2 linked regions of the Oryctolagus cuniculus genome follow. Each later gene encodes a partner of the first gene's protein in a complex. Links are inferred from orthologs where the notes say so. Each region holds a gene or a part of one and is shown on either strand. Other genes may lie near its edges.

What was found.
Region 2: the proteins of DROSHA (region 1) and DGCR8 are in contact, whole or in part, in a crystal structure (PDB 5B16), measured with the Homo sapiens proteins. The link is inferred for Oryctolagus cuniculus from reciprocal best matches to the Homo sapiens genes DROSHA and DGCR8. Residues at the interface, in NP_001369437.1 of Homo sapiens: Leu984, Leu987, Phe988, Thr998, Tyr999, Thr1001, Ala1002, Ile1003, Gln1005, His1008, Phe1069, Asp1073, Leu1074, Glu1076, Val1077, Trp1078, Asn1080, Pro1082; in NP_073557.3 of Homo sapiens: Asn728, Ile731, Leu732, Lys734, Leu735, Gln736, Glu738, Met739, Lys740, Leu742, Ala743, Arg746, Arg750.

What each region holds. Positions count from the first base shown.
Region 1 is NC_091445.1:57,616,442-57,619,946, reverse strand, and holds the end of DROSHA (ribonuclease 3), read left to right. Parts: intron 1-1,903; coding exon 1,904-2,034; 3' UTR 2,035-2,926; downstream 2,927-3,505. UniProt on the Homo sapiens protein: Ribonuclease III double-stranded (ds) RNA-specific endoribonuclease that is involved in the initial step of microRNA (miRNA) biogenesis.
Region 2 is NC_091452.1:27,757,889-27,761,539, reverse strand, and holds part of DGCR8 (microprocessor complex subunit DGCR8), read right to left. Parts: intron 626-3,651; coding exon 483-625; intron 337-482; coding exon 54-336; intron 1-53.

The sequences.
Region 1 (3,505 bases):
GCACTGTAAGAGTGGATGGTGGGATGATTTTTAAATATTTATACATCTATGTAATATACATATACATTTACATTTATATATATATGTGTGTGTGTGTGTGTGTGTGTGTGTGTATATATATATATATATATATATATAGTATGACTTTACCTCTTAGGAAATAGGCTGTAAGGATATATCCTGAAAGATTATCAGTAGTTAGAGCTGAGAATGAGTTTCTTTTAAATGCAAAATGAATTTTATAGTGAAATTTCCTGAGGCAATAGGGTCCATTTTATAGAAACTTGCTGCATTATTTTTATTTTTATTATTTTTTTAATTTTTTTAGAAAAAGTACTTGCAGTGTTTGAAACTTATGATTTACACAACATGTGAGGTATCAATGTATTTAGGAGGTAATTTTATTTCAGAAGTAATATAGATGCCATGTTTCTCTTTTGTTTAATAATCACTGACTCTCAGGCATACAAGAGTTTTCCTGATTGACTGTCTTTCAGATATGTTTTCTACTACCGTGTTCCTGGCCCTTCAGCCTGGGATGAGGAAGGGACACTCCATTAGAAGGGGAAGGGGGAAATAATGTAGGAGCATGCTATATGTACAGATCCACTTTCATTATACCTCACCTTTAAAACAAACTTGTTTTCCCCAAACATGTCATGTCTCCACCCATCTCTGGTTCTTCTTGTGTTTGAATAGCCCTTTATCCGATAAATAGTATCATTTTTCTCTTTGTGCTCGAAGGCAGTGTGTGTAGTTCTTACCCATGTATGCATCCCTTTTTAAAAATATATTTTTATTTATTTTGAGGGGTAGAGTTACAGAGAGAGGAAGAGACAGAGAGAAAGGTCTTCCATCCCCAGATGGCCACAATGGCTGGAGCTGAGCCCATCTGTAGCCAGGAGCCAGGAGTTTCTTCAGTTTTCCCATGCAGGTGCAGGGGCCCAAGCAGTTGGGCCATCTTCTGCTGCTTTCCCAGGTCATAGCAGAGAGCTGGATAGGAAGAGGAGCAGCCAGGACACAAACCGGCACCCATATGGGATGCTGTCTGTTTAAGTAGGTGTTTGTTGACCAGGTATACAGAAATGGTTATTTCTAGTTCCATACTTGATTTCTTTCTTCACTGCTACATGAAAGTTACACAGCAAATGACAATGAAATTGTGAAATTTCTCAGTCTTAGTGAAGACTTCCATTGTGTCAACAGTGTTGCGCGGGGTCAATCTCAAACTAAATATAACTTAACCTATGTCATGGAGTGCAATGTTTCCTTTAATTGAATCAAATTCTCTACTCGAGTTGCTTGTGCAGTATAGCTTTCAGCCTTTTAGGGCAGACTTTACAAATAGGGTGAATTATCAAACAATAAATTATAATGTGGCCTCCTTTTGTCTATCTGATCTTTTTTTTTTTCTTTTCTTTTTTTTTTTTTTTTTTTTGCTTTTGTCAGAAACTTTCTTGGTAAATCAGAAACTTGGTAAATAATGGTGTGATAATACCATTATTTGTTTGGGTTTTTTATTTGAGCCCTTCAAAGATGTGCAACTGTATTTTATGGCATCCTTTCATTTTTTCTTGAAACTCACTTGTTGCTAGGAGAAACATGTTAATGCACCTGGTTGGAAACATTCCAACATCATACATCTATGATTTAGTGCCTTTTCTCTCTCAGGTTCACCTTAGATATTGAAATCTAGAATTGGCCAGTCCAGACTACCAGTGGGTTCTGAATCACAAAAGAACTATGGAATAAAATGAGGCTTTTTTTTTTCTCTTGTCTTACAAAATTCAACTGTATACCTGTCACAGAAGTTGGTGTTTGCATGTGTAGATATTTGGTTTGCATCATTCTTTGCACTAGTGGCTACCCTTTAATAAGTGTAAAATATATCTCCTTGTGCCAGATAACTTTCCCCAGATGGCCCATCAGAAGCGGTTCATTGAACGGAAATACAGACAAGAGTTAAAAGAAATGAGGTGGGAAAGAGAGCATCAAGAGCGGGAGCCAGATGAGACTGAAGACATAAAGAAATAAAGGAGGGCACGGAACTGGTGGTGTGTTTACTTGCCTAATAACTGTGACTGCTGCCCATTGAGACCTAGCCTAGTTTTCCTGCAGACAATGAATGAAGTGTGCCCATTGAAATAAAACCCAGTGTCAAATCACCATTGTTGTTTTACTGGTCTAATATTCTGTTGTTAGCTGGATGGTCTTTGTTACAAAGTGTTTTATTTCTCTTCTGTTTAATGGAAAACTTGACTTCGGTGGGTATGCGTTTTTCCCTTTTATTTTGCTTTCGAACAATAAAATTCAAGAAAGCATATTGTCCTTGGAATAGATCCTGTATTTTCTCACTGTCTCAGATTGTGAGCCCAGACTTTCAGCTGAGAAGTGAAAAATTCACTTTGTCAGGTATTTTGACTCCCTTCTAGAAATCTTTGGATTATTTGCTAGATTTTCAGCTTTCATCTGGATGTTTGTCAAGTTCTCAGCTGCATATATTGAATTTACCACTTTCCAAGCAGTGAGTCCTTTGTGGAAGGAATCTGTTTAAGGTTTAAGTGGCTAATAGGCGCGGGGGAGGACTGATGTTTGAGTCACACATGTTCTTTGAATCACTGGAATGGGGAAGCAGCCATGATTCTGAGTCAGACCCCCCTTTAAACCTGGAGTCAGCAGGCCCTCTATGAAGTTTAGACTGCAGGGATGTCTCAGAACCTCATGAAATGCTATTCAATTGTATGTGCCTGGTGGGGACTTGGGGAGGGGGGAGCAAGTAGAGGAGGGGTCGGCACTTTGATCAGCTTTTCTAAGTGACCCCTGCAGAAAAGGGCTAACATTACATCAAAGATGTAACATTTAAAGTGAAACATTATTTTAAATTAAACATCATTGTTATTAATAAAGGCAAAACTTTGTAACACAACTGTGTTTTCATCCATTATTTCTGCAAGCACGACATGGGCCTACTGTGTATCAGGCACCATTCTAGGCTCTGGGACTCCTTGGTGGACATAAGAGACAAAACACAGTGCCCTCGGGAGCTTGTGTGCTGCAGCAATACCCTCAGGGGAACCAACGCGGGGAGCTGGGTGGGTGCAGTATGCTCTGAACCAGAATGAGTCATTCAGGTATACGGGAGACTGTTGCCTGCAGAGCTGTGCATTGTAGAAGATTCGGACAGTGTTATTACTTTTGTTAACAGGAAAAAGAAACAAATGACACCTTTACCATCGAGGGATAGGAAGAACACATAACCAGAAAAATAAATCACTCATGATTGCATCACCCAGAGGACTTGTCTACCCTGTCAGGCCTTCTGTGCACATACGTATGTCTGCACAGGCACTCAAGTGTGTTTAACATGTGGTTCCCACTTTCATGGACAGTGCTGCCACATAGATCCTGGAGGACGGACACATTTGAGAGAAGACCTCTCCATTGTTTCTTTTTTTTTTTTTTTTTGACAGGCAGAGTGGACAGTGAGAGAGAGAGAGACAGAGAG
Region 2 (3,651 bases), on another chromosome or scaffold:
GGACACACACAGACACCGCCAGGGACAAGGGAGGACCACTCTCGGGAACTTACCCACCGATTCATCTTTGCACACTTCAACTTTGGCCTTCACCTGCCCCAGGGCCCCGGGGGCCGCTTCGGCCCCCAGGGGGTCCTTCTCATCTGGGGGCCCCGAGTCGGTGCCCATGGCGTCGGGCTCCTCCAGGGGGAACTCCAGCTCCGCGGATCGGCTCAGGGGCTTGGCGGGGGACCCCTCCCCGCTGGGGCTGATGTCGCTGCTCTGCTCCCGTTCCTCATTGTCCTTCATTTTCTTGTAGTGCAGACAGGGGATGCTACTCAGAGGAGGGTCGTGTTTCTGCGGACAGCGAGATGGCAACAGGAAGTGTAAGGACGACCCCGTCAATCCAGAAACGCAAGGCCTCTTGTTAGCCTCTGCGTGGCACCACAGAGCAGCAGGCGCATGGTGCACAAGCCTGGGAGTGCGACTCATGTCTCCCCTACCCGTATGCTTCCCGTTCCCAGGAAGTACGGCCTGGACCAGGTGACCACCCGAGACTCTCTGTGCAGGTACACAGGGACTCCGGAGTTGTGGAACGTCATGATCCAGCCGTCGGGGAGAGGCTCTGTGGGAGGGCGGCCACGACCTGCAGGGAGACAAGAACCCCTGATGGCTGTATGGACACCCGGAGCAGGCATCCGGCGCAGCGTCAGGACACGGCACAGCGAGCCCTTGTCCCAGATCCGAGTGCCTGGCTAGAGCGCAGTCCTGGCTCCGCTTCTGATTTACTTCCTGCTAAGGAGACAGCAGGTGACGGCTTCAGGGCTCGGGTCCCTGCTGCCCACATGGAAGACAGGGATTGCGTTCTACACATTTGGGTGTGGGCCTGCAGGTGGGTTCTCTCTCTCTGCCTTTCAAATAAACAAAAATCAGCAAAAATTTTAAAAACAGGCAGGGGCTGGTGTTGTGGCAAAGCGGGTTAAGTTGCTTGCGTGCAAGGCCAGCATCCCACATCAGGTTGCTGGTTCGAGTCTCAGCTGCTCGGCTTCCAGTCCAGCTTCCTGCTGATGCGCCTGTGAAGGGGGTGGAAGACAGTTCTGGGCTCCTGGCTTCAGTCTGACCCAGCCCCAGCTAATGTAGCCACTGGAGGAGTGAACCAGCAGATGGGAAATCTGTCTCTCCCTTTCAAATAAACAAATAGATCCTTAACACAAATTTGAAATAAATAAAAGCACTTAGCATTGTCCCCAAGGTGCCTCCACACACAGAACTGCTCTGTCCGTTTGCCTATTTACTGTCCCTGTCCCCCTTGCTTCCTCTACTGTACCCTCTGGCCTAGGACAGCATGTGGTGCAAGGTGGGAGCCCTGGGACAGGTCTGTGCCAGATACAGGCCAGCCTTGGCTCCAGCCTCCATCTGGTAGGCACCACAGACCGAGCCATTTCCTTGCCAACCTCTCTGGTAGGCAGAGGCACCCCTGGGAACCGGATGAGCTTTGCTAATAGAGCGTGTGTCCGCTGTCCGGGACAGGTGACAGGTGCCTATCAGAACTGAGCGGCACGCTCTCACCAAAGTGCTTTTAAAAGACACGAACACATCCTGAGGTCAGCTGTAAGATACCGGGCCCACCCTCTGCTTCACTGAGCAGGCAGTAGTGCAGAAAAGCTTTCAAATGAGTAACTATTCACCTGCCACCTGCCACCGGAAGATCTGACTGCTGGCAAAAGCACAAGAGAGAGATTTACTGAAAACCTAATCTTCTCACAGGGTTGGCAGTAACTAAAAATGAAGAAGCAAAGGGGGGAAAAAGCACGTGAAATCTAAGAAAATGTACGTGATGGGGGCCAGTGCTGTGGCATACTGGGTAAAGCCACCACATCCAGAGCTGGCATCCCACATGAGCGCCGGTTCAAGTCCCAGCTGCTCCACTTCCGATCCAGCTCTCTGCTATGGCCTGGGAAGGCATCAGAAGATGGCCCAGGTCCTTGGGCCCCTGCACCCACGTGGGAGACCTGGAAGGAGCTCCTGGCTCCTGGCTTCAGATTGGCCCAGCTCCAGCGGTCATGGCCATGTGGCAGGGGAGTGAACCAGTGGATGGAAGACCTGTCTGTCTGTCTCTCTTACTGCCTCTCTGTAACTCTGCCTTTCAAATAAATAAGTCTTTTAAAAAAGAAAATATACGCGATGAAAACGGTTGTCAGTGACTGCAAACTGGTTCCCCGCCCAGTGGTCCGACCCTGGGTTCACACCTACACAGAGGCTGCATCAGCTGCCACACCTGGGAGGGAGCATTGCAGGCTAGGAGTGCACGTACACATGGGGCCCTCTCTCCATGGGCTTGGACCAAGAAGGCGCCAGCTTACAGCAGCTCTGAGCTAAGTCAGGAGAATCAGCAACAGAGAGGCCAGCATTGAGGTGCAGCAGATAAAGCCGCCACCGCAGCGCCGGCATCCCATATGGGCGCCAGTAGGAGTCCCGGCTGCTCCACTTCCAATCCAGCTTCACTGCCAATGTGCCTGGGAAAGCAGCGGCAGATGGCCCAAGCGCTTAGGCCCCTGCCACCATATGGGAGACCAGGCTGGAGTTCCTGGCTCCTGGCTTCGGCCTGGCTGAGCCCAGGTTGTTGGGGCCATTTGGGGAATGAACCAGCAGATGGAAGATCTGTCTCTGTTTTATCCCTCTCAATCTGCCACTCTGCCTTTTGAATCAATAGATAAATAAATAAATGAATAATAAATGGATCTTTAAAAAAGAAAGAAAAGCTGACAGAATGCACAGCCACATACAACACGAGAGCACAGCTGGTCCAGGCCACTCCTCGGTGAAGAGGAGCTGTCTGGAGCGGCCACCAGGGTGAGGCCCTGCTGCGGCTCGTGCCAGGCAGGCAGGTTTACCTGCCGAGAGTGAGACGACAGAAACACAGGAAGAGGCCCTGCGGCACTCGCCCAGAAGCTGCCGCACCAGCAACTGCCTGTCCCCATCCCCCCCTGCTGCACTGCTACCCATGGGCAGCGGCCGTGCCCGTGCCCGGTGCTGCCAATTCATCCCTTCAGAGGCTCCTCCCCCACTGTCCTCCCCAGTCGTCCCTGCCACCTTCTGTAGCTGCCCGGGCCAGGGGTCTCACCCGTGTGCCGGAGCACCCACGCCATCTCTTTAGCCCTCTACCGAGCCCGTCACCTCCACCAGGATGCCTCAGAGGTCCCTCCAGGAGCCCACAGAAACCAGCCCTGCCTCCACCTGCACCTGACCACAGCGATGACGGAGCCTCACCGTACCACTCCAGATACCTCCCGACTGCGCTCCCCACCGCGCCCAACCCCATGCTGAGGCTTCCACGGCGCTTCCGTACCAGCCCGCCCGAACCGCACTCGCCGCACCATGGCCCCAGGAGCAATGTCTTTGAGCAAATGCGAGGCCCCAGCGTCTGCCTACTTCTGGTGGCTTCCGCAACACCTGGTGCAGAGGCAGCACTCAGAGCACGGCCATCGCCTGCCGTCTCCTCTGGCTCGGCCTCCAGGCCCACGGGCCGCCAGCCTTGTCCTCAGGGTTCCCTTCCTGATCCCATCAGAAAACCCCCCGTGTTCCTCTGTAGCGCGCCCACCACTCTGTCACCCACAGCACTCACGGGTCCAGCACCTGGGCCACACACCCCTGTGTGTCCTGGGCCTGGCT